6 linked regions of the Macaca fascicularis genome follow. The protein of the gene in region 1 binds, or shares a complex with, the protein of each later gene. Links are inferred from orthologs where the notes say so. Each region holds a gene or a part of one and is shown in the gene's direction. Other genes may lie near its edges.

What was found.
Region 2: STX4 (region 1) and STX18 share a complex: the UniProt entries of both Homo sapiens proteins name them as parts of the SNARE complex. The link is inferred for Macaca fascicularis from reciprocal best matches to the Homo sapiens genes STX4 and STX18.
Region 3: STX4 (region 1) and BNIP1 share a complex: the UniProt entries of both Homo sapiens proteins name them as parts of the SNARE complex. The link is inferred for Macaca fascicularis from reciprocal best matches to the Homo sapiens genes STX4 and BNIP1.
Region 4: STX4 (region 1) and BET1L share a complex: the UniProt entries of both Homo sapiens proteins name them as parts of the SNARE complex. The link is inferred for Macaca fascicularis from reciprocal best matches to the Homo sapiens genes STX4 and BET1L.
Region 5: STX4 (region 1) and VTI1B share a complex: the UniProt entries of both Homo sapiens proteins name them as parts of the SNARE complex. The link is inferred for Macaca fascicularis from reciprocal best matches to the Homo sapiens genes STX4 and VTI1B.
Region 6: STX4 (region 1) and STX5 share a complex: the UniProt entries of both Homo sapiens proteins name them as parts of the SNARE complex. The link is inferred for Macaca fascicularis from reciprocal best matches to the Homo sapiens genes STX4 and STX5.

The regions. Positions count from the first base shown.
Region 1 is NC_088394.1:29,213,854-29,218,800, forward strand, and holds the start of STX4 (syntaxin-4), read left to right. Parts: upstream 1-1,741; 5' UTR 1,742-1,999; coding exon 2,000-2,029; intron 2,030-2,206; coding exon 2,207-2,308; intron 2,309-2,397; coding exon of another isoform or gene 2,398-2,419; coding exon 2,420-2,519; intron 2,520-2,655; coding exon 2,656-2,730; intron 2,731-3,167; coding exon 3,168-3,238; intron 3,239-4,947. UniProt on the Homo sapiens protein: Plasma membrane t-SNARE that mediates docking of transport vesicles. Necessary for the translocation of SLC2A4 from intracellular vesicles to the plasma membrane.
Region 2 is NC_088379.1:8,513,440-8,518,154, forward strand, and holds the start of STX18 (syntaxin-18), read left to right. Parts: upstream 1-1,693; 5' UTR 1,694-1,777; coding exon 1,778-1,945; intron 1,946-4,715. UniProt on the Homo sapiens protein: Syntaxin that may be involved in targeting and fusion of Golgi-derived retrograde transport vesicles with the ER.
Region 3 is NC_088380.1:179,966,402-179,971,144, forward strand, and holds the start of BNIP1 (vesicle transport protein SEC20), read left to right. Parts: upstream 1-1,491; 5' UTR 1,492-1,503; coding exon 1,504-1,587; intron 1,588-3,850; coding exon 3,851-3,943; intron 3,944-4,743. UniProt on the Homo sapiens protein: As part of a SNARE complex may be involved in endoplasmic reticulum membranes fusion and be required for the maintenance of endoplasmic reticulum organization. Also plays a role in apoptosis.
Region 4 is NC_088388.1:85,388-90,348, reverse strand, and holds the start of BET1L (BET1-like protein), read left to right. Parts: upstream 1-1,717; 5' UTR 1,718-1,794; coding exon 1,795-1,813; intron 1,814-3,059; coding exon 3,060-3,151; intron 3,152-3,434; coding exon 3,435-3,491; intron 3,492-3,633; coding exon 3,634-3,801; 3' UTR 3,802-4,961. Other genes in the region: RIC8A (chaperone Ric-8A), read right to left, coding at 203-286. UniProt on the Homo sapiens protein: Vesicle SNARE required for targeting and fusion of retrograde transport vesicles with the Golgi complex. Required for the integrity of the Golgi complex.
Region 5 is NC_088381.1:135,576,505-135,581,344, reverse strand, and holds the start of VTI1B (vesicle transport through interaction with t-SNAREs homolog 1B), read left to right. Parts: upstream 1-1,654; 5' UTR 1,655-1,808; coding exon 1,809-1,923; intron 1,924-4,840. UniProt on the Homo sapiens protein: V-SNARE that mediates vesicle transport pathways through interactions with t-SNAREs on the target membrane. These interactions are proposed to mediate aspects of the specificity of vesicle trafficking and to promote fusion of the lipid bilayers.
Region 6 is NC_088388.1:11,216,100-11,221,007, forward strand, and holds the start of STX5 (syntaxin-5), read left to right. Parts: upstream 1-1,908; 5' UTR 1,909-2,044; intron 2,045-2,490; 5' UTR 2,491-2,639; intron 2,640-2,735; 5' UTR 2,736-2,754; coding exon 2,755-2,979; intron 2,980-4,908. Other genes in the region: WDR74 (WD repeat-containing protein 74), read left to right, coding at 21-166, 283-339, 806-985; TEX54 (testis-expressed protein 54), read left to right, coding at 1,119-1,625. UniProt on the Homo sapiens protein: Mediates endoplasmic reticulum to Golgi transport.

The DNA.
Region 1 (4,947 bases):
TGCCTCCCAAAGTGCTGGGACTGCAGGCATAGGCCACCGCACCCTGCTAGAGCTGGGTTTTAACAGGAAGAGAAGAGCCAAAAATCCTCACATAGAATCAGACAGCACTTGACAGTTTCCAACCTCATCATCACTGAAGTTTAGAGCAGCCCATACCCATAAAGATGATCTCCCCATCCCCCCAAGTTACCCACTGTGCAGAGGGAGATCGACACTTAAGAGACAGGAAGCAACTTCCAGAAGTCCATAGCAACCCAGTCCCAGGAATCTAGGTTTCCTGACCAGGGCATAGCAGAAAGGGTCCATTCCTTTCCTTGCTTGTACCTTCACAGAAGCTTCCTGGACAGAGCCCTGGGGTCCAGGAGACCCGTTATTCATTCCCAGCTATGCTGAGACTTACTAAATGACCTTGGGGACTCCTTCTAGAGAATTTAAGTTCCACGAGTGCAGGAATTTTTATCTATTAGTCCTTGATGTATCTCCAGCCCTAGAACAGTGTTTGGCCCATAGTATGTGCCCAAAAATATCCATTAAATGAATGTTCTGTGCATGGTGGTGCATGCCTGTAATCCCAGCAGTTTGGGAGGCTGAGGCAGGAGGATTGCTTGAGCCCAGGAGTTAGAGACCAGCTTGGACAACATAGTGAGACCCCATCTTGTAAAAATTTTTAAAAATAAAAAATGAGTGAATATCTCGATAGCCAGGATTAGAGAAGTGTCACAGTCAGAAAGACTGAAGCCTAAAGAAGGCCAAGGAACCAGGGTCTTCATCCTCAGATACATGAAAGGCTAAGATTCTGTCCACAAGTATTTATAGAGGGCCCGTAATGTGCTTGGTACTGAGCTAGGAACTCCCCAGATTCAGTTAAGAACAAAGTCATTACCTGCCTCAGATGCAAGGCAGGGTCTGGGGGGTGTGAGTGGCAGGGAAGGCAGCGTGCAGAGACACTTTTCTTAGCCTGAGCTGCCCTGACATGGTCTGACAGCCCACAAGGTGGTGAGTGCAGCCGGGCTGTAGTGTTCAAGGAGGGCGCCGGCTGGCTGCCCACCTGTCAGAGGCTGCGCCAGGAGGATGCGGAAGAAGAGGTTTCTGCCTTGGCTGAGGTCACTTTCCACCCCTAGATTCCCTGCCCACACAACCCTGCAATTTTCTGACGCTGACGACTCGGATCCTATTATTTCCCGATTTTCAAGGTCCCATGATGCTGACAGCCCCAAATGCTAAGTCGTCAGTCCGCCCACGCCCCTGGACCCGAAAGCAATAAAGGCGAAGTCAGCAAGGGTCCTACCACCCACTGCCTCGAAAGGCCTCTGGGAGTGGTGGGCGCGCCCCTCCCCACCTCGCGGGGGCCGTGTGGGCGTCGTTCGGTGGTCGGAGTGCCGGGGACGTCGTGATGAAAACAGCGTCCCAGAGACGGCGCTGACCGAGCCGGGACACGTGACAGTCACAGCGTCACATTCTGCGGTCCACGAGTTTGGGACCGGGTTGCTCACGTGACGCGGTGGGGGCACCATGGGGTGATATGAGATGCGGGTGCCTCAGATTACGTACAAATGACGTATTCCTACCCCTTTTGGCAACCAGATTTCCGTTGGAAGATGCAACGGTTCCGGTGACGGTAGCCAGTTCTCGCGTCCACGCAGCTCCGCTTCCGCTCGGGGCGCAATAACTTCCGACTCCACCTTCCGCGCCTCGGGCGAGGAAGAGACGCGACCATATGCGCATGCCCCGAATTTATCACGGAGGGGCGGGGCTGAGGCTGCGGGAGCTGGAGGGGGGAAGAAAAGGGAATTCCAACCTGTGGAACCTTGGGGGGTCCCCGGGGTCGGCGCCTTCCCATTGACTGTGGGCGGTGCAAGGGACGGAGGCTCTGGTGGCTCGTGGGGGTGTTGGGGTCCACAGGGGGAGGGAGGGGAGTGTCAGAGTGTGAGTGGGGTACGGGTATTCCAAGTTTGCCGGCCTCCCGGTCTGACGCCGGGGAGGGAGAGCTCAGGCCGCCATGCGGGACAGGACCCACGAGCTGAGGCAGGTGAGACGCCAGGGCAGCGGGGATGGGGGCGCGCGGACGAACTGGAACGCAGGACTCCTGGTCTTCGGGGTAGGGAGGGGTGGCTGATGGCCAGGAAGGAAAGTCCCGGAAGCCTGTGGGTCCTGCGGGGTGACAGCCGCAGCGAAACAGTGGTGCCAATGACTCCGGGCCTGGCAGGGGGATGACAGCTCGGACGAAGAGGACAAGGAGCGAGTCGCGCTGGTGGTGCACCCGGGCACGGCACGGCTGGGGAGCCCGGACGAGGAGTTCTTCCAGAAGGTAAGGGGATGGAGTCTTGGCCTGGATTCGCGAGGGGGTAGGAGGACCCGAGGAGCAGCGTGGTCTGGAGTACCCCATATCTCTTTCAGCCCTCTCGGTCACCCTCCCCAGGTCCGGACAATTCGGCAGACTATTGTCAAGCTGGGGAATAAAGTCCAGGAGTTGGAGAAACAGCAGGTCACCATCCTGGCCACGCCCCTTCCTGAGGAGAGTGAGTGAAACCCCGGCTGCATAGCGCATGCTCCGCCCCAGGGATTGTGGGGGTTGTAGTTCCACGCAGGTGGTGGCCAGGGTGGTTTGTTGAGGTGGGGGCTGCTGTTTGGGAGTCGTGGCCTTCTCTTATTCAGGCATGAAGCAGGAGCTGCAGAACCTGCGCGACGAGATCAAACAGCTGGGGAGGGAGATCCGCCTGCAGCTGAAGGGTGAGCTACTGGGACCTCAGGCAGATCCTTCCCTCTGATCCTGCCCTGTTGTTGGTATATCTGGGGAGTGTGTGGCCCAGAGAAGCCAGTGATATATCCAGGTCACACAGCAGGCCTGGTTCTAGCATCTCTGTCTTCTGGCCTCCAGGCCATTGTACTCTCCACAGCACAAGGCAGTCTCTCAGGTTCTTTTATTTACAATGAAACCATTTACTTACACAGTTATCACTGCCCACTGGGGCATTCTTTGGGCAGGGAGATGGGGTTTTGTTAGGTGGCCTCTGCATTCGTACGGGAACTCAAGTGATGTAATGCAAAGAAAAATAAACTTACTTTCTCCTCTTGGAGGCTCAGCCTTAGTCATTTTATGATAAATTATATTTCCCTAAAAATCCTATGGAGACAAGTACCCCCAATACCCCTGTGTCTTCCCACAGCCATAGAGCCCCAGAAGGAGGAAGCTGATGAGAACTATAACTCCATCAACACAAGAATGAGAAAAACCCAGGTGGGTTTTTTTTCTCAGAAATGACATTTCAGCAAATGTTTCATGAAGTAGTAGATGACAGATGTATGAAGGAAGGGCCTGTAGAGGTCATGGAGTCCAATTGGATGATTTTTCCAAGTGGGGAACCTGAGCTCAGAGAGAGAAAGAACTTGCTCAAGGTCAGGAAACCAGGTCTCCTGATGCTCAGTCCGGTTATAACACCCTGCTTTATTTTCTTCCATTCAATAAGAAGTTACTTATTGACCCCAGACAAGACCTAGGCTTGACTGTGGGACACGTTTTCTTTTCTTTTTGCCTCAGCCTCCTGAATAGCTGGGATTACAGGCGGACACCACCATGCCGAGTTAATTTTTGTATTTTTAGTAGAGACGGGGTTTCCCCATGTTGGCCAGGCTGGTCTCGAACTCCTGACCTCAGGTGACCCTCCTGCCTTGGCCTCCCAAAGTGCTGGAATTACAGGCGTGAGCCACTGCGCCCAGCTGGGACACGTGTTTTCTAGGAGTCAACATGAGGAGTTAGGGTTCAATAGGGGATAAAGACATTACTCACGTGGGATCTGGTGGCTAATGGCGCTGCCCAGGGAAGGAGAGTGAGAAGTCACAAATTGACTGGCAGGTTTGCTATCTGTGTGACAGGGACATCCTTAGTCCCACAGGTGGAATTCAAGAAGTCAGGAAGTGGAACTTCCCTGGGGCGACACTGAAGAGGAACTCCCCTGGTGTAATATCTTTTTTTAAAAAATTATTATTATTTTTTTGAGATGGAGTCTCTCTCTGTCGCCCAGGCTGGAGTACAGTGGCACAGTCTTGGCTGACTGCAACCTCCACCTCCTTCAAGCGATAATCCTCCCTCAGCCTCACAAGTAGCTGGGATTACAGGCGTACACCACCACACCTGGCTAGTTTTTTATATTTTTGGTAGAAATGAGGTTTCACCATGTTGGCCAGGCTGGTCTTGAACTCCTGACCTCAAGTCCTCAAGTGATCCACCTGCTTTGGCCTCCCAAAGTGCTATGATTACAGGCATGAGCCACCGTGCACGGCCCCTGGGGTGATATCTTAGTAAGGAGATTTGCAGTGATCTGACTGGCCCTCTTTGTGTCCCCAGTGAGGAGGATACCAAGAGGTCAGGGTTGGAGTAGTTGAGCCCAGGGCTCAGCAAGGACCCCAGATTGAAGATGAAACAGCTTGGGCATCTTGGAAGGGTGCAGCTGGAACCAGGAGAGCAGATGTATCTCTGGAAAAGGAACTCCAAGGAATGAGCATATTTAAGGTCTCAGGAGAAGGGGCAAGGCAGAGCAGATGCCCCAGAGCCAGTGTTTCTGGGGAAGCCTGTGGTGGTGATTGGCATGAGTGGTCGAGGGCCCATGTGGGCCTGTTGCACCTGTTTCGCCCAGGCAGCATGTTCATCTCTAGGCATAGGAACTGTGGTGTAGGCAGCAAGGTTGGCATTCAGCAAGCATTCAGCAGTTACATATTGGGTGCCTACTGTGTGCCAGACCTTTTTGGAACTGTTTAGGGTACAGCAGTGAATCAATGATCCCTATCCTCATGGAACTTCCCTTCTGGTGTAGACAATCACCGTAATAAATAAGTGAATTATTTAGAACATAATAAGCATTAAGGAAAAAAGAGCAGGGGAAGAGGGACTGAGCATGCTGGAGGAGGGTAGCGTTGCAGTTGAAAGCAAGTGGAGGAAGCTTCATTCAG
Region 2 (4,715 bases), on another chromosome or scaffold:
GTGAAACTCCATCTCTACTAAAAATACAAAAAAAATAGCTGGGCGTGGTGGCGGGCGCCTGCAGTCCCAGCTACTGGGAAGGCTGAGGCAGAAGAATGGTGAACCCGGGAGGCGGAGCTTGCAGTGAGCCGAGATCGTGCCACTGCACCCCAGCCTGGGGGACAGAGTAAGACTCCGTCTAAAAAAAAAAAAAAAACTTTTCCTTCCTCCTTTCTGGTAAATATACACTTTCTTGACATCTATTTCTCATAAACTTTATTTCTTTAACACAGTGGTTCTCAAACTTTTGGTCTCAACTCTTTTGCACACTTAAAAATTATTAAGGGCTCTAAACAATTTTTGTTTATATTGACATTATCGACATTCACTATATGAGAAATTAAAAACTTTTGATGTTTTTGAAAATCTTTTTTTTGAAGTCTGGCTTAATAGAAAACAGCTGTTCTGCATTTATTCCGTTGCAATATCACAGTCTAGCAAACTCAACTGTATGCAACTCATGAGAAAGTGAGAGTGAAAAGGCAAATAACATCTTAGTATTATGAAAATATTTTTATATTGACCATTAAAACCACTATTTTAATACACATTCTACTTGTGCATCCTCTTTATGGAAAAAAAAAAATCTTGAAGAAATCAATGAGATTTTGAATATCCTTAGGCCAGCCATGGTGGCAAGTGCCTACAGTTCCAGCTACTCAGGAGGCGGAGCCGGGGAGGATCGTTTGTGCCCTGGCGTTCCAGTCTGTAATGAGCTAGGATGGCGCCTCTGAATAGCCACTGCAATCCAGCCTGGGCAACATAGCAGACCCCCATCTCAAAAAACAACACAAAACAGAACCATGAACCAAAAATGCAGAAGAAACTCATTGACTGACTTGTCAATTTTAATAGCTATGGCTCAAGACGGTACAATTAAAAACTATGCATGAAGCAAGAACAGAATCCAGCGACATTAGGGCCACTCTTTCACCTTTGCCTCCATCTAAAGTTCCTATTCATCCTTCAAATCTCTGCACAGGTGACGCCTTTTCTCTACAGCCTCTTCCATCACCACAAATACGAGTGATTATAATAATAACATTATTAACGATTACTACCATTTATTGGCCACTTACTAGGAGCCAAGCAACATCAAAACACAGCACGCGTCAGCTCACTTAATTTTCACAGTAAACTCCGGGGAGGATGCTGGCTTCACTTTACAGAGGTGACTGAAGGGTGGAGAAGAAAGACCTCTGGCCTCTAGCTCTATGCCTTGCACATCTGCTCTGTCTCAGCACTTATTGCACCCCGAGGGTCACCGTCCAAGCGCCTCTGTCCTGCTCAAGGTGAGTCCTTGCAGTCAAAGGTCAAGGGTGGCTCGCCTCCACGTCCCCCGCAACCAAACCGCCCGCTCTCAGTGAGGGAGCCACCAGAAGGGAAGGAGCCTCCCAGCTTCCCGGTCCTCACGCTCCCGGAGCCCACACGCCCCAAAAAAGCACAGGAAAGCTCGCTGAGCTCTCCGCACTGCTAAACCCTCCAAGCTTTGCCGGGAGAAAGAGGTGCCCGTGAGCTCGTCGCGGGGTTCCTCCTCCGCCAGGTGCGCCGCTGAGTTCGGAACCTTTTTCCTCCCGCCGCGGTAGCGGGGCTCAGGCCGGAACCTTTCTTCTCGCATCGCAGTTGCCGGTGGGGAGGAGTGCGGGGCAGGACCAGTCCTCCAGCGGCCGGGTTCTCGCCGCGGTCGCCGGCTGCTTACGTGAGCGGGCCCAGTGTGGGTCTGCGGGTACGGGTCGCTATGGCCGTGGACATCACGCTGCTATTCCGGGCCAGCGTCAAGACCGTGAAGACGCGGAACAAGGCGCTGGGAGTGGCGGTGGGCGGCGGGGTCGATGGCAGCCGGGATGAGCTGTTCCGCCGGAGCCCCCGGCCCAAGGGCGACTTCTCCAGCCGGGCCCGCGAAGTGGTGAGCTGGTTGCTATGGAAACGGCGGGTTGAGGAGGGGGCAGTCCTGCGACAGGGACCCCGAGCCCCAAACCACACCCCGTCCCGTAAGCATTGTGTGAAGGAGGTGGCCCCAAGGGGGACAGGAGAGTTGGCCTCAGAGACCGGACAGCTTTTTGGGGAAGGAACAGCCTTATTTTAAGGAAGGGGGACGCATATTGGGGAACAGATTTCTCCTGCGGCGGCGGGGGTTGGGGGACGAGGAAGGAGACCCTCAGAAATCTCTATCTGGAAAGTGCACGGGCGGCTTTGTGAGGTCATGAGTTCGCCGTCACTACAGACTTGCACTCACGGGAAACCTCACTGTCCTTCACTTCCTGTTGCAGAACTGACCACACCGTATTTGCCTGTGCTCTTTACTTGTCTGCCTCCCATCCCCAGTTGAGATTAAAAACCATATTCAACCGAACTCTTTCTTCCCTTTGTCTCCGCGATAAGTAGGGCTCAGTTCCTCTTGAGACGAGTTTAGGGTCATCTTTCGCAAACACGGTGTTACAGTCATCTCAACTACTTTCTGTTCCCTGATCAGAGCAGGTGTCCCTTCATCTCTCTGGGAACAGGAACCTTTTCCTTAAGGGCAGGGACAGTTGTTTTCATCTCACAATGCATGACTCATAGCATTGCTTAGTAAATGTTTGTTGAATGAATGAATGAACAAAATGGCTGTCTTTCCCGTTAAACAGAAAATTCCATGAGGGGAGAGATGTTTGTCTTGTTCCCTTTTGTGTCCGTGACACCAAGGAGGGATCTAGGTTTTGTGGGGCCGAAAGTTTTTATAGTTATGTCTGCCGTCTTTAAGAAATAAAAATCACCAAGAGAGATTCAGAGCTTTGGAAGATGGAAGTGAGGGACCCCGAAGCTAAAACCTCATTAATTTCACAGTAGATCCTACTCTGCTTGGCATACACTTGGCACTGCATAGACACTCAGATATTTTCGAATGAATGTATGCATGCATGCATTAATGACAGTTAGCAGAGGATACTTAAACATCAGAAAGGGGTTGGACCAGATGAATACACTCTCCCTATTGATGAACATCTATGAAGCACCTACTTTCTGACCAGCCTCATGTTAGAGTAATATGATGTAAAAGGAGTAGTGGAGTAGACGGACATAGACATAAAACAAGTGCCATAAAGCCTTGCAAGTGTTATGTAGGGCACAAAGAAGAATGTGGTCAGTTCTACCTGAGGATCAGAAAAGGCTTTATAGAGGTGATGATGCCCAAAACAAATCTTGAAAGAGGATTAGTTGGCTCCAGTGCAGAAGGGCATCTCAGGCTAAAAGAATAGTATGCGCTAAGATGTGGAGGTGTGTAAGAGTCTGATATAAGTTGGTTCAATAAACATTTGAGTGAGACTGGTATGTGGGACTCTCATAAAAATTGGACCGGGAGAGATCTTAAAGGGCTTTGTATATCACTGCGGAGTTTGAATTTTGCCCTCTAGGCCGTCAGATGTTATATGGTAGAGAAAGTACCAGAGAAGGAGCCAGGAGACCAGGTTGTTGTCTGAACCCTGCAACTGTTAGCTATATGATTTCATTAAGCAAGTGTCAAGACCTCAGTTTATTTACCTGTAAATGGTCCTTTTTTTTCTCCTCCTCCTTTTAAAAAACTACCTTGGTCCTCTATATATAACAAATTAAAGTGGAAGCTTCCTAGGCTGAAATGAGAGGAAGAGAAACAGGATACTCTCCCTCCCAGTTTGGCCTAAGCACTTCCTGGGGTTCCTTTTGTAGAACCGTGGTATGAATATCACAGTATTGGCGTTGTAAGGGTCCCTTCTGACTCTGAAACCACTGATTTATGAACACTGTGCTAATTTTGAGTCCTGCTCAGGGAAAGGGGGGATTTGGGAATGGTCGAGACAAGAGGCACAGTTGAGTTGGCAAGCCCTTTGGATAGCCCTGTGATCACTTCCACCGCTCCCTGAGTGGTGAAAATGTGTTTTAGACTTTTGAGTTAATGGGCCTCAGGGACAGTAACAGTCCTGTAGGGTGCTGAGTTCCCTGTCACTGGAAGTAATTAAACAGAGTGATGACTGCTTTTCAGAGATGTTTGAGAAGAACTTTGTGCATATGTCATAGGTTTGGACCGCGTGACAGTGAAACTTCCAATTCTGCTATGTATTGATGTGAGTAGGTGTCACATTACCTTAAGTGAGTACATGGGCTGTGTTGTTCAGGGACGCTGTCCCCCTGACGTAGAGGAAACATACATTCTTTTAAGCAATTTTGATTTTGTGTTGTCATTGCTTTGCGTATTATCTCCTGTTCTTCCAACCATTCCCCACTCCCCATCTTCTCTTGTGGGAATTTTAACTAGAAGAGCTAGTGATGGATGTCCTGTGCTTTCACTATGATTAGATGTGTCAAAAGTTTGCCTGTTATTTTGTTTGGCCTGGATTCCTTATACAGAAAAGTCTGGTCAATACCAGAAGCACATATTCTAATTCAGGTTTAGCCCTGGTTGTCAGACTTAATGAAATGTAATAAGTTATAGTATGCCTTTTGGTAAGTGCCTTCCTTGAAGCATTTGCTGTTACTTCTAGGATGCGTTTTAATCCGGTTCAATTTCTGTTCTTCCATTCCATTCCTCTAATACATGCCTGATGCCAGATTTCCATCTCACTGAATTGTTGTAAAGGTTATATTAAGTTTCATAAAATTGCATTGAAACTAAATCTTCCTTCCCTACCTCCCACCAATAGACTGATTTCTTCTGCATC
Region 3 (4,743 bases), on another chromosome or scaffold:
AAAGTTCCTGGCACATAGGAAGTGCTCCCAAAATGTTGGCTAGTAGTAGAATAACAGCAGCTAACGGGCACTGAGATCTTACCATATGCCACATTAGCACACTGTGCTTGGTGCTTTTCATGTATTATCTCATTTAATTATCCAATCTGTGAAGTAGGTGCTATTGATTATCACCAGTTAGCCTCTGAGGAGACTGAAGCACAGGCATGCAGTGCTGTGGACAGGATTTGAGCCCAGGCAGATGCCAAGCCTGGGATACACTGCCTCTCTATTAGGTGCAGTGGGGTGATGAATACCTTACGAGAGGGTGTGTAGAGGCCTGTAGGAACACAGACAAGCACAGAGCCCTGCTTACAACAGGTGGGAGCCATATTGATTTTTTGGGGAAAAGATGGCTTTCAGTAGAGGCTGTGCCACTTTCAAGATAGGTAATCTTGCGACAGGGTTGATTGGTGGTTATTTTAATCTACTTTCAGCTCATCTCCTGAAGTGTGATACTAGTGTAGTGCAATTTCAAGGGTGGTTGTGAGGATTAAGAGAGATGAACATTCAGGTCCTAAGCATTTAGGTCCTCACAATCTATTCTTGCTGAAGTGACCTGAACAAAAGCAGATGGAGTGGGGTCGAGTCGGGGAAAAGCTTTCCAGGGAGAGGGAACACCACATTCTAAGGCTACACATCCAGAAAGAGCTTGAGCAATCCAGGAAGGGTGCAGGGTGGGGTGGCTGATGACCTTGAGGACCAGCTAAGAAACTTGGATTATTTACTAACAAAAATAAAAGAGCCACCATTTGTTGAGGGTTTCCTCTGACATTTCCATCAAAACTACGTAAATCCATCAAAACTACGTAAATCCATCAAAACTACCCCAGCAAGGTAGATTTAATAAATCCAGTTGTATACAAAAGGGAACCACCAGAAGCCATAGAAGGGCTGCATACAGGGAGGCGACTTGATCAATTTCGTGTTTTACAAAGATCCCTCAGATCATGTGTTGGAGTGATAGGAAGTACTCTACTGACTCTACTGAACTCCATACTTTAAAAAATACATAACATTTATCATTTTCTCTTTTACTCCACAATTTATACTCACTGTAGAAAATATTAAAAATATAAGAAAGTTTGAAGAAACAAAAAAGTGTCACTTGTACTTTCCAGAGACATCTCAATTGATACTTTTCTTCCAGTCTTTTTTTCTATGCAAAAAATATATAGTTATTAGAATGCCTGACAGAAGGAAGATGGAAAGAGACCACTGTGAAGCATTATTGATATTCCCTCTTCTCTTCCTCTCCATGGTATTAAGGCCATACCAAGAGGAGAGGCTGATTTCCCTACACGTGTCAGGGAAAGTCCCAACTCTGCGGCAGGGACCCAAGCTTGCCATTTTCGCCGGTCTCTAGGGGGCGCTGCCCCGAGACTGGGCGGGGAGGGCGAGAAGGCGGTGCGAAAACGCGTTTGAACTTGGGCCCTGCCGCCGCCCGTAACCGGCGTCCCCAACATGGCGGCTCCCCAAGATGTCCACGTCCGGATCTGTAACCAAGAGATTGTCAAATTTGACCTGGAGGTGAAGGCGCTTATTCAGGTACTGATCCCGGGACCCCTGCCAGGCTCCAGCAGCCCTAACCCAAGCTCTGCTGGTCTGTGAGCTCGGTAGTGTCACTCCCGAACTTTCCCCACTTGGTTTCCCAGGCCACCGGCTCCGCCCCATGACCGGCTACCCGCCCTGGTCCCCATTTGGTTGTATCCCCGTGACTGCTGGCCTTGATCCTTTTTCCGGGTGCCGCCGGATCGCCCATCTCCAGAGCACCCAACTGTTCTCCGCCCCTGACCCAGCTACTGCTTCGAGGCTCGGCTTTGCCACTTCCACTTGCAGTCCTGGTCGTCGCCCCGCCCCTGACCTCCTCACAACCTACCTGCCACCCTGCTTGGCCCCGCCCTCTGACGCTGCTTCCCCATTCTCTGGTAGCGCCCGGTAGGCAGCTAGCCCCGCTCCCTGCTGGCCAGCTCCCCTGGCATCCAAGGGCACCTGGCTCGGGAGGCACCAGGTGAAACGAATGTAACCTGGACCGTAGTTGTGATTTTATGCTTGAGGAAATCGAGTACGGCGCCAAGGCCTAGGTTAGAAGGCAGGCCTGGGTCAATGGCAAAACTGGGACCTGGACTGGGAAAGTCAACCTAGGAATAACACCTTAGAGTGTTACCCCGTTTGAACAGAGAGGAAATGAGGTGTTTTCGCCTTAAGCCATTTAAGGGTAGAGGTAAAATAAACGAGTTGACGTAGACAAGAATTAGGAATGTAGACACGGTTCCATGAGTTTAGCAAAAAGAAACCAAGAGTTTTAAACCTTGTTTTTTTGTTTTGTTTTGTTTTGTTTTTTGTTTTTGTTTGTTTTTGAGACGGAGTCTCGCTCTGTCGCTCAGGCTGGAGCGCAGTGGCGCGATCTACTCACTGCAAGCTCTGCCTCCCGGCTTCATGGCATTCTCCTGCCTCAGCCTCCCGAGTAGCTGGGACTACAGGGGCCCGCCACCACGCCCAGCTCATTTTTGTATTTTGTTTAGTAGAGACGGGGTTTCGCCGTGTTAGCCAGGATGGTCTTGATCTCCTGACTTCGTGATTTGCCCGCCTCGGCCTCCCAAAGTGCTGGGATTACAGGTGTGAACCACTGCGCCCGGCCTAAACCTTGGTTTTTAAAGCAAATCATTTTCAACAAAGTCACTAAACATTAGATGTAGACTCAGAGTTTGTAACGAGGGGTGGCAAAAAGTGCAGGAAAGTAGGGCTCCCCAGATAAACCAGATGCAGAATAAACCAAATTAGATGCAGAATAAACAAATATGGTGCAAAGAAGTGTGATTAAATTAATAACCAGAGAAAAAGTGAAATTTGATGCAGATATTTAAAACTTCTCGAACTTCACTTCTCTGATGTATACATTACAAAACTTCTGGGCCAGTTATAGAAAAATAAACTTAGGTTTCATACAAATGAAATCACATTTTCACATAATCTAAATTGCTTAGGCACCCTTCTGTACTCTTTCTAACATTTGGGTTCTTGTGATTGCTGATGAGAAAGATTGATTATAGCTGGATGTAGTGCACCCTTACTGTGTTCCAGCAGCTCTGCTAAGTGCTTTACATACACACATAATCTATGATGTTCTCTGAGGTAAGTAGGGTTGTGATGAGGAAACTGAGACACAGATAATTTAAATAACTTTCCAGGTAACTTTACACAGCTAATAAGTTGCCACAGCCAGGATTCGAATCCACATGGTCTGTCTCCAGAGCCTGCTCTGAAAACTGGCACCAGTAATTCTGAATGTCCAGCAACAGATTCTAAATCTGCCCTTAAACATGTTTATATAAACACTCTAACTTATCACTGACGGTTTGTAAAATCACACTGAAAAAGTTAATCTCATCATATGAGGCCAGATCTTTAAACATCCTCATCTTACAAGTTGAAAGGATCTAAGGTTCTAAAGTTATAGTATAACTTTCGCATGTCCATTCTTGTTGGGCATATAAGCTGTTTTAAGCTTTTTCATACTGGCCAGGTAATGTTTTGTTAAAATTTAGGCACTAAAAATTAGGTCAAAGCAGTTGTGTTTCTTTCTAGGCTTTTATATTAATTCAACATTAATCTAAAGAGGAATGAGAAAAATGCCAATGATAATGTTTTTGCTTGTGTTGCAGAGGTAAACAGCAAAGATCAGGATGAATTATAGTCAGTATCAGTACATTAATATTAGTTGGTCTAAACCAACTCTCTCACTGTATGGATGGTGTCATTTCATTTCATTGCCTTAAGAAAGGCCTTTCATCTGTTCAATGTCTCCTAGGATATCCGTGATTGTTCAGGACCCTTAAGTGCTCTTACTGAACTGAACACTAAAGTAAAAGAGAAATTTCAACAGTTGCGTCACAGAATACAGGTGGGTATTCTCAGAACTGAGATGCTGAGTATCTATCAATGAAGGGGGCTCAGTCCTGGGTGTATCCTCTGCTTGAGAGCCGTCTGGGTTCTTCAAACACCAGCTGATGGGAGCAGTAAACACTTAAGACAGTGAGGGTGACTCTGTACTAACCTGCTGTCCAGGTAAAAACGAGAAACTTTTGCGTGCAGAACACTGCCAGCTGTGTCAACAAGTGGATGGCAGGAACACCATTATCCTTGGAATTTTTGAAACCCTGAGGCCACTTCAAATACTTTCTCTTCTCTACCTTCTTTCTACCCTATTCATTTGTTCACTACCTCAATCCATCACACTCCTGGGTTTTTTTTTTTTTTTTTTTTTAAATGCTGTTACTTTGCTCAGCATCTTCCTTATTTCAGTAGTCACCAGTCACATCATGTACACATTCAATATGCCTGAATTCAACTGTGGTATATGTGCTGTCTCAGAAAACACTAGAGGGTGACAAGTAGCAGTTTCGTTTGTTTGTTTTATTTATTTCATGTTTTATTCTTATTACACTGGGCTGGGCAAAGGGTTGTGCACCACTGTATAGATCATGTTATTCTGTTGCTTTCATTTTTGAAAATGAAAATGAGGCCAGTAGTTTGAGAACAGCCTGGCCAACATGGCAAAACCCCATCTCTACTAAAAATGCAAAAATTAGCTGGGCATGGTGGCACATGCCTGTAATCCCAGCTACTTGGGAGGCTGACGCAGGAGAATCACTTGAACCCAGGAGGCAGAGGTTGAAGTGAGCTGAGATCATGCCACTGCAC
Region 4 (4,961 bases), on another chromosome or scaffold:
ATCCCTACACACCTGCCACCCAACGGGTGCACCCCAGACACTCTCCCCCCAACACTGCATCCCTGACGTGCCACCCCCACGCCGCCGCGTCCCCTCTGCTTGCTGACACAACCCCTGCCTCACCCACACCGTCCCGACCACCCGCGCACGACCCTGCCCCACCCCCTCCGTGCCCGCCCCCCGGCCTCAGGCGGCCGCTCACCTCCTGGTTGTACGACCGCAGAGCTTCCATAATCACATCCTCCTTCCCCGTCTCCACGGCTTCTGCAACCGCCCGGGGCTCCATGGCGCCCCCGGAACCCGGCGCGGGGAAGGCGGGACGGGCCCTTCCTCAACCTTTCCGGGCCGCAGTTCGCCGGCCCCGCCCTGGCCCAGAAAGCCCCGCGCCAGCGCGCGGGGGAGGCCGGGACGGGACGCGGCGTCTGGTGGCGCTTCAAGGGGGCGCGGCCTGAGGCAGCACTGGCGGCTCGGAAGACCCGAGTCGGGCCAAGTCGCCCTGAACCGGACTGATCCCCCTCCTTGTGACCGGGGCTTCTTGGGCCGGAATTTCCAACAGGAAAGGATCTCAGCCCCCACCGCGCCCTGCCACACACACAGTGACGCCCCTCGAGCTCCACAGAACCGATGGGATGTAGACGGGAAAGCCGAAGTGGAAAGGACTTTTCAGTCCCGGGCCATTGGGTTCGTTAGGCGTTTGCTGGGGAATGCAAGCGAACGGGACTCCCAGGCCCCTGCCTTTGTGGAGCTTATGTTCCAGAGGGGAAGGCAGACAAGGAAAAACAAAAGGACATGAGGCGGTCACAGGGCTGTGCTTCAAAAGAAGCAAAAGGTGACTGCTGGGCTGCAAGGGCTGTGAGGCAGTGGTGTTTTTGCTAACACTGGACGATGGGAAGCGAGCCGGGAAAAGACTGGAGGAGCCACTCCAGGCAGAAGGAGCAGCACTTGCAAAGGTGGAAGGGCCGTGAGGGGCCGAGAGAAAGGGGAGCAACGCAGTCTGGCCTGGACTCAGTTCCCTCTTGACAAGCAAAGATCCTGCGTGTCCGTTTCAGTGGCCATCAGGAGGATTCAGTGACGCACAGGAAGCGCGGTCCACTGGCTCTTGTAACAAGTGCCCGGGAGCAAAGGCGTCTACGGCCCCCACTCCCCGTGCCGCCTCCCAGTCTCTTTCCCTGCTTCACTTTCCTGTAGCGCTTTCCGCACACCTGTATTCGACGCGGCGCGCACTCGCAGGCACTAGCGAGGCGCCGATCTCCACTTGACAGAGGAGGCACCCTTGCCCCCTCCACACCCAGGGCTCCTCGCGGGCTTCTGCCCGAGGGGCCTACTCCTCCCTCATGACCCGCCTGTGAATCCTTCCTAACCGTTAGGACCTAACGCATGGCAGCGTCTTTCCACCACCATCGTCTTGGCACTGAGCAAGCAAACGGCCCCGCCCCGCCCCACGTTCACAGGAACAACAAACAAACGTCACATCCGCGGTGCTGCTGTAATCCCAGCACCTTGGGAGCCCGGCAGGCGGGGGCTGCAGTGAGCTGAGATCGCGCCACTGCCTGGGCGACAGTGCTGAAAATAAGTCACAGCGACGCCCATCGCTTCCGCGACCCCGCGGTTCCCCACCCTCGGGCCTAAGCCGGAAATCAGCGAGCCCGACGCCATCTAGGGGCGTGGTTGGCGCGGAGGCGGGGCCATCGCTGGCGGGGGGCGGGGCCGGAAGCCCGTTCCCCGTGACTGCGCCACGTCTGAGGCGGCTGTGGCCGCGTCGGTGTTGGCGTCGAGGAGCCGGGGCAGGGCACGATGGCGGACTGGGCTCGGGGTGAGCGCGGGAGAGCGGAGCCGTTGGGGGCAGGGCCGGGCCGGAACCGACGCCGCTGCCTGTAGAGCCGCGTGCGCCTGCCTCTGGCCTCGGCGGGGAGGACCCTGTCAGGGGGGCGGATTCGGATCCTTCCGGGTCCCAGCAGGGCCGGGTTTCGGCCAGCACTGCCGCTAGGAAGGACGGCGGGCGGGGCGGCCCAGCAGCTCCAGCGAGGGCTCGCGCAGCTGCGGGGTCCCCCCACTCCCCGCCGCTCCCTGTGAGATCGTTTTGCATGGGTTCAGGGTGAGCGGGAGTCTCGGCATTCGACAGGTCCCGAGGCCAGGCCTTCGGAGTAGGCTGTGCTCCGCTGGTGTCCAGGCAGGCCTCTGCTAACTAACTTGGGCCTCGGTGGCCCCATTTCCCCTCCTGGAGCCCGTGTTCTTCTCTGCAAAGTGGGATATTGATGCCTGTCTGAGTTATGATGAGTAAAGGAATTAATGAACAGGAAGTGGTTGGAAGGACGCTGGCATCCCTTCCTTAACGTTGAAGCTAGGGAGAAGGTGGTTCTCACCCACCTGAGGTGACAGAAATTCCTTATCACCTGGCCCAGCCTGTCACAGGCCGGGCCTCTGCAAGCGCTGTGCCCTGGGTGTTGCAGGAAGCCCTGTGTGGGATGCAGACCAGGGATCACGCTCCTGGTCGACCTCAGCTCCCATCTCGCGGAATTGGGAACTTTGCTCAGCTGTTTTCTGTGCGGTAAAGGGCCTTCCCAATGTTCTGTCCTGGTTCCTTGCCACCTCTTCAGGACCCAGCTCAAAGGTCGTCCCTGCAGGAGCCTTTCTGCTGCCCTGCTGGGTACTTTTCCCAAGTCTTTCCTATGCTCTTAGCAGAGTTTACTCTTTTTCTATAAGAATGGGCTCCACATACACAGATGGCGACCTCCCTGGATGCAAGTGTCACATCTTATTAACATCCCAGAGCTGGGCCCAGTTTTTGCTACACAGTCTCAGAAGGTGCTGGTTGGACTGAACCCACTGTGGGTGCTGGCCCATCCCCACCTGGATGTGTACACAGGACACGTGTTCACATGACAGGCCCTTGCACACATCGTCCTTTATGCAGTCTCTCTCACATGTGCAAGATTCACCTGCTGGAACCTAGGTTAGGGCCCCTAGATTTCTGACTCACCCAGTTGTGGTTGGAGTGAGAGGGGTCAGAGGCCTCGCTCCCCGATGGATGCAATCACTCAGCCCCTCTCTTTTCTCAGCTCAGAGCCCGGGCGCTGTGGAAGAGATTCTAGACCGGGAGAACAAGCGAATGGCCGACAGCCTGGCCTCCAAAGTCACCAGGCTCAAATCGGTCAGTGGTGGTCTGTCCTCTTACCTCCACCTGGTGCCCTTGGGGAATGGGGATCAGAGGGAAGGTAGAGGGCCCAGAGGAGTTTCAGGCAGTTTGCCGTCCTCCTCGTTCGATTCGTGGCTGTGCTCACCTGCATGAGGCCCCAGCTGACACCTGGACCTTCCTGCTGCTGCCCCACTGTGTCTGGCAGAGTTGTTGGCAGGGTTTGTCTGGTCTGGGAAGGGTGAGTGCTGTATTATGTGTCTGCTCTGGCCCAACCCTGCCCTCTCTGTGTGCTGAACAGCTCGCCCTGGACATCGATAGGGATGCAGAGGATCAGAACCGGTACCTGGATGGCATGGTAAGGGCCCACGGTGTGCGCGAATCAGTGCCCTGCCCCCAGCACTACCTGCTACAGAGCTTGCAGTGTCTCCTTCAGCACTGGTGCGGGTGGGTGGTCAAATCACCACTTCTGTGTGATCTTGCCGGGATTCTTCCCTTAGGACTCGGATTTCACAAGCATGACCGGCCTGCTTACAGGGAGTGTGAAGCGCTTTTCCGCAATGGCAAGGTCCGGACGAGACAACCGGAAGCTTCTATGTGGCATGGCTGTGGGTCTGATTGTGGCCTTCTTCATCCTCTCCTACTTCTTGTCGAGGGCAAGGACGTGAGACAGTGGGAGCTGGTGTCTGTGGGTGCCAAGGGCAGCCATTGTCTTCCCTGCCTGGCATCTTGGGCTCCAGAGGACTTACCTGCAAAGTACTCCTTTGAAATTATAATCGTGGGCCAGGAATCCTTTCTGTGTGGCAGGAGGCTGCGGCTGCCTGTGACCTGATGAGCTCATGTTGGCTGGTCCCATGTGTGGAAGGGACTCTTTCGGGGAAACCAAGGCCCAGCCCCTCCCCCCTTCCCCAGATGCTAGAGACACAAGCAGAGCTGGGGCCGCAGCGTGTCTGGAGGAGCCAGGTCTGAGCAGAGCAACTGTTGAATCCCAGGCGTGGCCACCTGTGGCCTGCAGCCTTTCTCCCAGCTCTTGGGACGCTGACATCTGAAGGCTCCACGGTCGTGTCCTTGTCTGGATGAGGCCATGTCTGTGATCCAAGGTTCCTGGAACTGACACAGGAAGGGGCTGTGAACCCTAAGTGGGTGCTATCTCCTCCAACTGAGGCTTCTCAGCCTGGAGATGGCAGTTACTCCTGGCCATGGTTGCTGAGCACAGGAGACCAGTGCGGGCCACCCTGCTGTGAGTTCTCTGTGCCTACTCTCCAGTCCTGCGGATGAAGTGAGACCCCTGGGGAGAACGGGTTGTGGATGAAGGAGTGGACTGCAGCCTTGGCCTAGCCACTGGGTGGGATCCTTCTGGGTCCTGTGACTGTGTATCCAGGAGCAGAAACTTGTATTCTCAGGATTCAGAATCTACCCAGCACCAGAGATGTGTTTTCAGAAGAACAGACCTAGAAATGGGCCTCTCTGGCATTTCAGAGTCAGGCAAAGCAGGCAGGGCCGGGGAGCCATTGTGGGTCTACACAAGAAGGTTCCTGAGAGGCTATCAGTTGTTGCCATCTAGCTTGCTGGTAACTCTGGCGCCTCTGCCAAGCCCTGCCAGACTCCTCTGGCTGTGATGGCGTTCTGTGCCATCCTCCTTGTCCCCAGCCTCTGCAGGATACCCTCCCTACCCACCTCTCCCTGGGCCTTCCCTGTCCACTGGGCTGGGCTCATGTTCAAACAACTAGACTGGCAGGGCAACGGCTTTTCCCCACCCCAAGATGAGGTCCTTGCCCCCTTGGCCTAAAAACACCTTTAAAGCTCTGTGCCCTTCTCTGTGCTGTTC
Region 5 (4,840 bases), on another chromosome or scaffold:
TCAACCAAAGCGTGCTGAATCAACAGCCAATGAACTTGATCTAATAAAAATGAGGGCCCAGGAGATATAAATTAGCAAAGCATTTTCTCCTGAGCATTCATACATCTTTTAATATTTGTAGGCAGTTTAAAATTGAGCTCCCAAGCAAACATTTGAGAACAGACACCTTGAGCAAACCGTGAAATCGGTGAAAATAAGAATTTATTTTAATTTTTTTGAGATAGGATCTTGCTTTGTCACCCAGGCTGGAGTGCAGTGGCATGATCTCAGCTCACTGCAACCACTACCTCCCGGGTTCAGGTGATTCTCCTGCCTTAGCCTCCCGAGTAGCTGGGATTTACAGGCGCCCACCACCACGCTCGGCTAATTTTTGTGATTTTAGCAGAGATGGGGGTTTCACCGTGTTGGCTAGGCTGGTCTCGAACTCCTGACTTAAAGTAATCCGCCCGCGTCGGCCTCCCAAAGTGCTGGGATAATGCTTGAGCCACCATGCCCAACCTGAAGACCGGCATTTATACCCATGGAGTGCAGGAAAGGACCTTGTAATTGTTAACAAGTGACACTTAGTGGCAGATGAGACCTAATGAAGCCAGGCCCACCTTCCACACCAGATTATAAATTCCCCCGGAGCAGAGAGTAAATGTTTTATTCACCAACATGCCCAGATCCCTCGCAATGCCTACGCTTGACAAACACCTGTTGTGAACAAGTGCACGAGGCAGCCTAGCAGCTAGAGTATTTCGAGGTCATCCTAACTGGGTTCCACTTTTGAATTTTTGTTTTTTGGGTTCGTTTGGAGACAAGGTCACCCTCCACTTGGGAGCAAAGTCTCCCAAGCTGGAGTGCAGTGGTGGGAACTCTGCAATCTCAACCTTGTGGACTCAAGTAATCCTCCTGCTTCAGCCTCCGGGGTAGCTGGGGCCAAAAGTGCGCGCCACCTTGCCCGGCTCCTATTTTGGGTTTCCGGTAGTGCTCTCGCTATTGTGACCAGGCTGGTCTCGAACTACTGGGTTCAAGCAATCCTCCCACCTCGGCCTCCCAAAGTACTGGGATTACAGACGTGAGCCACTCGCCCGGCCGAGTTCCACTTCTGAAAGCTTGGGGAGCCGCTGGGCCTTCCAGGAAAAGTGCTCCACCTCCCGACTGCAGGCAGAGCCCCCGGCCCGGCTCTTTCCAGGGCCTAAAGCTAACATTCGGTCAAAACGCGAAATGCGGAATTCGGGTCAGGGTGGCAAAGCAAAGCGCGATGACAGTGAGGACGACGTCTAGACGCAAACACACATCAAATCGGGCCGAAGCCCGCTGTCGCCTCGCGGGCTAAACCTGGCACCCCGGGCAACGCGCGACTCCGGCACCAGACGCTCTCCGAGTCAAACTACATCCCCCGGCGTGCACTGCAGCGCCCGCCCCTGGCCGGCCGGCGGGGCCCAGGAGGAAGGCGGCCGAGCTGCCCGTCCCGCAGGTCCCCTAGGGCCCTTTCTCTGCGGCCTTTCCCCACCCCGGACCGGGCACTTCTCGGGCTCTGCGACTACCATTCGCCCCGCTCGCTCCCTCAGGAGTCGCCTAGGCCGCGCAGTCTGCTGCCTTCCCGTCAGGCCTTCGCGCCGGCGCTCCCGCAATCACGGGCTAGAGAGGGTGGGCGTTCCGGCTCGGGAGGACCCTTCTGCGGCCCCGGAAGAGCCTCGTCCTGGGCAGCGGTGGTGCGGCGGTCGCCGTTATGGCCACGGGACTGGGCGGCTGACCGCCGGGCTAGGAGAGGGCCCAGAGCCCCGAATCTGGGTGGCCGCTGCTCGAGCGCGTCCTGCGCCATGGCCGCCTCCGCCGCCTCCTCGGAGCATTTCGAGAAGCTGCACGAGATCTTCCGCGGCCTCCATGAAGACCTACAAGGGGTGCCCGAGCGGCTGCTGGGGACTGCTGGGACCGGTGAGGCGCGGGTGGGCCACGCCGTGGGGAGCGCGGCCCCGCGCGCTTTGGAATTTTCCCCCACCTTCCTCCCAGACCCGGGCCCGCGTCTCCTTCCTCCGCGTCCTCAGACACGCCCCCTAGGGCTGGCTGGGTCGCAACCCCGGGTCTCCCTGCCACTGAGAGTGAATTGGGGACGCGCCCAGGGACGCGGGGTTCAGTTCCCTGGGTTCCTTCTATGGCCTTCCACATTTTCTCGTTTTTTTCCACTGCGGCAAACAGAGCAGAGGGGCTTTTACATCTGCGGTCCTGTAATGTAGCGTGGGTTTCTTTCGTAGCTGTTTTTGTTTGTTTTATGCATTTAGAAGCACTAGTCTCAAGACAGGTCTAGTTTTCACCAGACTGACAGAGGATCTGTAGCACAGAAAAAGGGTTAAAAACCCAAAAGAGTCATAATTTGGGGCGTTGGTATATACCTGTTATTGGAGGGTAGAGAGCTGGCCTTTAAAACCTTATGGTGGCGTTTAGATGTGGTCTTGTTTTGAACGTTTTTACTGCTGCGACTATTTACTACCCCTTCATTTCATGGTTCAGGTTGCTACAAGTTTTGTCTGGAGGAGCTAGAGTTTTCCGGCCCTAGATCCATAGGAAGACCTGCTATATATAGTTCTTGGCCTCCGGATATGTAGAACTTGATGGCAAGGACAAAACTTTGTTTTATTGCTTTTATTTAAGGATCAGAGCTTGAGTGTTTGCTCAACGAATTACTCAAGGTCATAGGAATTGAATGACTCTGGTGAGAATGAAATGCATGTATTTAATATATATTTATTGTGAGGCTGCTGTGTGCCAGGCACTGTTCTAGGTGCTGGTGAATATTGCAAATTACAGTGAAAAAGACATGCACGTCCCCATTCTAGTGGGTAGGTGATAAACAATATATAACTATTAAGCGGCAGTGTTAAAGAATACAGGAAAATAAGAGTAAAGGAATAGGGGATGGGACTTCAGTTTTATTTTATTATTATTATTATTATTTTTGAGACAGAGTCTTACTCTGTCATCCAGTCTGGAGTGCAGTGGTACGATCTCGGCTCACTGCAGCCTCCACTTCCCAGATTGAAGCAATTCTCCTGCCTCAGCCTCTGGAGTAACTGGGATTACAGTTGCGCCACCACCCCTGGCTAATTTTTTTTGTATTTTTAGTAGAGACGGGGTTTCACCATGTTGGCCAGGTTGGTCTCTAACTCCTGACCTCAAGCGATCCGCTTTCCTCGGGACTTCAGTTTTAAATAGGGCGGTTGTGAAAGTCCTCTGTGAGGAGATGGCATTTGAACTGAGACTTGAATGAAGAGAGGGAGTAAACCAGAAATCTGGGAGAAGTGAGTGTCAGAAGGAGGGAATAGCACTGCAAATGCCCTTAAGCGGAAATGAGCTTGGTGTGTTCAACGAAGAGCAGGAAGTTCCATGTGTTTGGGATGAAGTGAGCAAAGGAGAGAGGTAGGCAGGGCCAGATCATGTAGGGCCTTGTGGACCATGGTGAAAGACTTGTGCCTTTTTCTAAATATGATGGGATGCAGTTAAAATATATTGTGCAGAACCATTGTGGGATCTGATTTATGTGATTGAAAAGTTGACTGCAGGCAGGGCACGGTGACTCACACCTGTAATTCCAGTGCTTGGGGAAGCAGAGGCGGGCAGATCACTTGAGGTCAGGAGTTCAAGACCAGCCTGGCCAACATAGTGAAACCCTATCTCTACTAAAAATACAAAAATTAGCCAGGCATGGTGTCAGTTGCCTGTAGTCCCAGCTACTCAGGAAGCTGAGGCAGGAGAATTGCTTGAACCCAGGAGGCAGAGGTTGCAGTGAGCCGAGATCCTGCCGCTGCACTCTAGTCTGGGCAACAGAGCAAGACTCTGTCTCAGAAAAAAAAAAAAAAGGAAAAGACTGCAGGCTAGGCGTGGTGGCTCACACCTGTAATCCCAGCACTTGGGGAAGCTGAGTTAGGATTATTGCTGTATTGAATGATTTTGAGACCAGCCTGGGCAACGTGGTGAAACGCCATCTCTACAAAAAATACAAAAATTAGCCAGGCATTGTGGTGCGTTCCTGTAGTCCCAGCTCCTGGGGAGGCTGAAGTGGGAGGATCACTTGCGCCCTGGAGCTGGAGGTTGCAGTGAGCCAAGATCGCACCACTGCACTCTAACCTGGATGACAGAGCAAGACTCTGTCTAAAAAAAAAAAAAAAGTAGACTGCATTTTCAACCTGGCACTGAGTTAATTTTTGCATTGCCCATTTCTATAAGGCTAAATAATGCAAAAGAACATTGCTTGAAAAATAGAAAATTGAATTCATTATTACTATGGTTTGAATGTCCCCTCTAAAACTTATGTTGAAATTTATTTGCCATTTTAATCGTGTTAAGAGGTGGGACCCATAAGAAATGATTAGACGATGAGGGCTCCATCCTCAGGGATTGGATTGTTATCCTGAGAGTGGGTTGGTTGCTGAGAGAGTGGGTTAGTTCAGCCCTCTCCTGCTTGCCTGCTCTCTTGATCTGTTGCTCTTCCACCTTCTGCCATAGGGTGACACATGGGTAGCAAGAAGGCCCTTGAAAGAATCAGGCCCCTCAGCCTTGGGCTTCCCAGCCTCCGGAACTCTGAGAAATACATTTCTTTTCTTTATAAATTACCCAGACTCAGCTATTCTGTTATAGCAACATAAAGCTAAGATAGTTACATTCACGTTTGTTGTCTCCCCAGCCTTTTTCTCCATCCTGCAAAGAGGACAGTCGGAAATATGTGATTTTTTTTTTTTTTTTTTGAGACAGAGTCTTGCTCTGTCACCCAGGCGGTGATACAATCTCAGCTCACTGCAACCTCCACCTCCTGGGTTCAAGCGATTGTCATGCCTCAGCCTCCCAAGTAGCTGGGATT
Region 6 (4,908 bases), on another chromosome or scaffold:
ATGCTTCCCCCCTTCTCTAGGGCGTCTACTGGGCTGTCTGAAGGGGCTGGCAGGCAGTGTCCGTGGGTTGCAGTGCCACCCTTCAAAGCCTCTACTAGCTTCCTGTGGCTTGGACAGAGTCTTGAGGATACACAGGATCCAGAATCCACGGGGTCTGGAGCATAAGGTAAGTCGTCTCTCCCACCCCAAACTCATGGTCTTATGGAGGCTCCGCCTCCTTTGTCCCCTTTCATGTTTCTGTCTCAGCATGCCTAGCTCCTTAAGGTCCTTCATCTTTTGCAGGTTTATCTCAAGTCTCAATTGAACTGCCTCCTCCTGTCAGGCAGGGACAACTGGGAGGTGAGCAGTTGGGTCTGGGAATGTGGGAGCTAAGGGCATAGATGTGAGGATCTCCCTATGAAGAGGAAAAGGAGGCAGCTGGAATGCAGACCTGGGACTATCTGTTTACCTGCCTGGTCACTTAATTTCTCTGAGAGGCATTAACAGTTAAAATCCTGAGGGTTATTGCCAAGAGCATGGATGGGGTTGCTTTCTGGGAGCAGGGAATAAAGGTGGTGATACCCAGAGGGATTATTTCTCAGCCAGGGTCTCCTTCCCTGTGGGTTTGTCCCTGTGCCCCTGACTACTTTTTCTTTTTTTTTTAACTTCTTTTTGTGGAGATGGGGTCTCCTATGTTGCCCAGTCTGGTCGCTAAGTCCTGGGCTCAAGCAATCCTCCTGCCTTGGTCTCCCAAAGTGCTGAGATTACAGGTGGGAGCTACCATGCCCAGTCCCCCTGACTCCTACACTTTCTTCCCACTCACCAGGATGAGCCCCAAGAGCCTCAAGAACCCAACAAGGTGCCCCTAGAAGACACAGAGACAGACGAACTTTGGGCATCCTTGGAGGCAGCTGCCAAGCGGAAGCTCTCGGATTTGGAGCAGACCCAAGGAGCTCTCCAAACCAGACGGAGAAAGAAGAAGCGGCCTGGGTCCACCAGCCCCTGACGCCCCTGTGCCTGCCCACTTTGTAAATAAACAGCTGAACATCCACCATGACCCTGAGCCTTTTGTGATGGGAGAAAGGAATGAGGGGTAGCTTGGGGTGGGGGCTCCCTGAGCTGGGGCGACGGGATATCTGATGTCACAAAAGCCGGGCCTGGAGGCAGGTAGGCTGGCGTGGGTGGCAGGGAGTCCGGGGCCCCGAGGGGCCATGGGCTGCTGCCAAGACAAGGACTTTGAGATGTCGGATGAGCAGTCCAAGGAGGCAGAGTCTGAGGCCGTCAGGGAAGATGGGACCAGAGGCACACACAGAGGGCCCAGGGAGTGTGAGAAGGGGCTTCCCGAGGGTAGGGGTGAGCTCAGAGGCCTCGTCGCCTCAGGCGCCGAAGGTATCGACTTGAACTCCCCGGACCATCGGAATCATAAGTCGAACGAAAGCCTTCTGATCACCGTGCTGTGGCGGCGACTATCCATGTTCAGTCGTCGGGGCTCCTCGCGGTCAAGCAAGAGACAATCAGACCAGATTAGGTCATCAATGTTCAGTGGTCGGGACTCCTTGCCGTCAAGCAAGAGGCAATCAGATCAGACTCGGAAACAGGAGCGTCCGATCCGAGAAGGCAACCAGGAGGAGCCGGAGAAGGGATGACCCCAGACCTGCTCTTAGTCAGCCCCAACCTCCAGAGAATAAAATTTCTAACGTGTACCTGCACCACCACTCTGGGAAACGGGCGCGGACACCGCCGGGCAGCTGGTTCTTTAAGGCTCCTCCCCGGAGGCGGGCCCAGCCCCCTGGGCTCCCGCTGTAGTACTCAGGGGCGGGGTCACGGCAGCGCCTTAGCCAATGGGAGGGGGGGTCGCTCTTGCGTTTGGATGTGGGGCGTGTCTTTCGGGTCGCCTGGCTTGAAAATGCGTGGGACCGCCCCCTCGTCACCGGGGGTGGGGTTACGTGTAGGTGACGTGGCCGCTTCCAGTCTGGTCGGGTTTCGGCGGCCTCAGTGCCCAGGGAGGAGGCAGTGACGGCCGGGGAGATTGGTAGTGGCGGCGGCGACAGGCAGCAGAGGGGAGGTAAGACTTGCTCTAAGAGGGGGTCTGGCCACCGTGTCAGCTCTGGGGCAGTGGTTTTACAGGGGCGACGACTGGCAGGGGGAAGGGAACCAGGGGCAAGCAGGCAAGTCCTGCCGGCCCGGCTCCTGGTGAGCGAATTCCTTGCCGTCCAATCAGGAAAGCCTCTGTTGAGAGAGACGTCGGCATTAGCTAATGAGTGGTTGAAGTCTTCCAGAAGGCGGACCTTGGGCGGGGGTGGGACTTCCTGTTTCAAATAAACACCCAGAGGTGTCCCCCTCCGCCCACCGAAGTGTGTCAGTCTTTGGAGGTCCGTCACCGGCCCCCCCCCGAGGGGCCGAAGGAAACCACGGAAACGAAGGGACTGGGTTAGGGCCCGGGGCAGTTACACGGGCCAGGCCGCAGTCTGAGGGCCACGGGACTTGGCTCTGGCCCTGTCTCTGCTTCAGGGCCCCCGGCCCGCGCTCTGGCCGCCGGAGCCAAGTTGGAAGAAGAGTCTGAAGCGGGTTCGACTTGGGACAGGGGAAAAGCAGAGCCCTTTCCGCTGCTGGCCCGCCCCAGGATCTGCGAGCGTCTTGGGCGCGAAAGTCCATGAGAAGTGCGGAAGGGGCTCGAGGATTTGTTGATTGGGGTGGGGCGGGGGAGTTTGGGGAAAGAAGCTGCCTGGGGAATGACACTCTCCCCTCCACAACAGTCCGAGGTTATGCGTCTCAATGATCCCGCGGAAACGCTACGGGTCTAAGAACACGGATCAGGGTGTCTACCTGGGTCTCTCAAAGACACAGGTCCTGTCCCCTGCACCTGCTGGCAGTAGCAGCAGCGACATCGCCCCTCTGCCCCCCCCAGTGGCCCTCGTCCCTCCCCCTCCCGACACCATGTCCTGCCGGGATCGGACCCAGGAGTTTCTGTCTGCCTGCAAGTCGCTGCAGACCCGTCAGGTAAGGACCTGGAGTGGAAAATGCGAGGAGTGAGCCATACTCAAATCTAGGAAGGACTGTGCTCCACCACTGTTAACTGAAGTAATTCTTGGGGGTACCTGATGGAACTGATAGGCTTGGATGGGGCCAGTAGGGTCTGCTGTAAGCAACAGAGAAGAGGTCGGCTGGCTAACTAGAGGCAAGGACTTAGACCTTTTTTTAGGAGGAATCCCTTGGAGGGCAGAAGTGCTATTCTGGAGGGAGTACTTCAGAGAGTACTTGGCTGTAATATAATTGGTGTGAATAAGGAACAAGTTCTAGGAAGAGCCTTTAGCTGAGAAACACGCACCTTGAATTTTCCAATATATTTCTACCATAAATTTGCTCTGTAACCATGAGAAAATTAATCTAGTTACATCTTAGTTTTTATCTCTGTAACATTAAGGACATTTTCTAGATCAGTAATTTGTTGTTTTTGTTTTGTTTTGAGATCTGTTTTCAACTCTGTCAACAGGCTGGAGTGTAGTGGCGTGATGATAGCTCACTGCAGTCTTGAACTCTTAGACTCAAGGGATCCTCTTTCCACAGCCACCTGAGCAGCTGGGACTACATGGATGCACCACCCAGCTAATTTTAAAATTTTTTTTGTACAGGCAGTGTCTCACTATGTTGCCCAGGTTGGTCTGGACACAAACACCTGGCCCTAGACCAGTAATTTGTATCAAAATAACTTAGGGTTGGATGTGGTGGCTCGTACCTGTAATTCCAGCACTTTGGGAGGCCTAGGCCACAGGATCGCTTGAGGCCAGGAGTTAGAGACCAGCAGGGGCAATGAAGAAAGACCCTGTCTCTACAAGAAAAGAAAAAAAAAGCTGGACGTGGTAGCATGTGCCTGTAGTCCCACCTACTTAGAAGGCTGAGCGAGGCCCAGTCTCTTTCTCTTTTTTTTTTTTTTTATTTTAAGAAGGAATTTCACTCTTGTCGCCTAGACTGGAGTGCAGTGGTGCAATCTCAGCTCACTGCAACCTTCTCTTCCCGGGTTCAAGCGATTCTTCTGCCTCAGCTTCTGGAGTAGCTGGGATTACAGGTGCCCGTCACCGTGCCCGGCTAATTTTTGTATTTTTTTTTTAGTAGAGACGGGGTTTCACCATGTTGGTGGGGCCGATCTTGAACTCTTGACCTCAGGTGATCTGCCTTCCTTAGCCTCCCAAAGTGCTGGGATTACAGGCATAAGCCACTGCGCCCAGCCTCTCTCTCCTTTTTTGGAAACAGGGTCTCACTCTGTCACCAAAGCTGGAGTGCAGTGGTTCTATCTCGGCTCACTGCAACATCTGCCCTCCTGGGCTCAAGCAGCCCTCCTGCCTCCAGCTTCTCAGTAGCTGGGATTATAGGCATGTGCTACCATGTCTGCCTAATTTTTGTTTTGTTAGTAGAGACGGGGTTTTACCATGTTGCCCAGACTTGTCTCGAACTTCTGTGCTCAAGTGATCCACCTTCTTCATCTTCTCAAAGTGCTGGGATTACAGGTGTCAGCCACTGCACTCAGCTCCTCTTAAAAAAAAAATTGGGAGTGCTTTCTAATTATTTATTTATTTAATTAATTATTTTTTTTTTTTTTTTTGAGACGGAGTCTCGCTCTGTCGCCCAAGCTGGAGTGCAGTGGCCGGATCTCAGCTCACTGCAAGCTCCGCCGCCCGAGTTTACACCATTCTCCTGCCTCAGCCTCCCGAGTAGCTGGGACTACAGGCGCCTGCCACCTCGCTCGGCTAGTTTTTTTGTATTTTTTAGTAGAGACGGGGTTTCACCGTGTTAGCCAGGATGGTCTTGATCTCCTGACCTCGTGATCCGCCCGTCTCGGCCTCCCAAAGTGCTGGGATTACAGGCTTGAGCCACCGCGCCCGGCCAGTTAATTATTTTTGAGATGGGAGTTTCACTCTTGTCGCCCAGGCT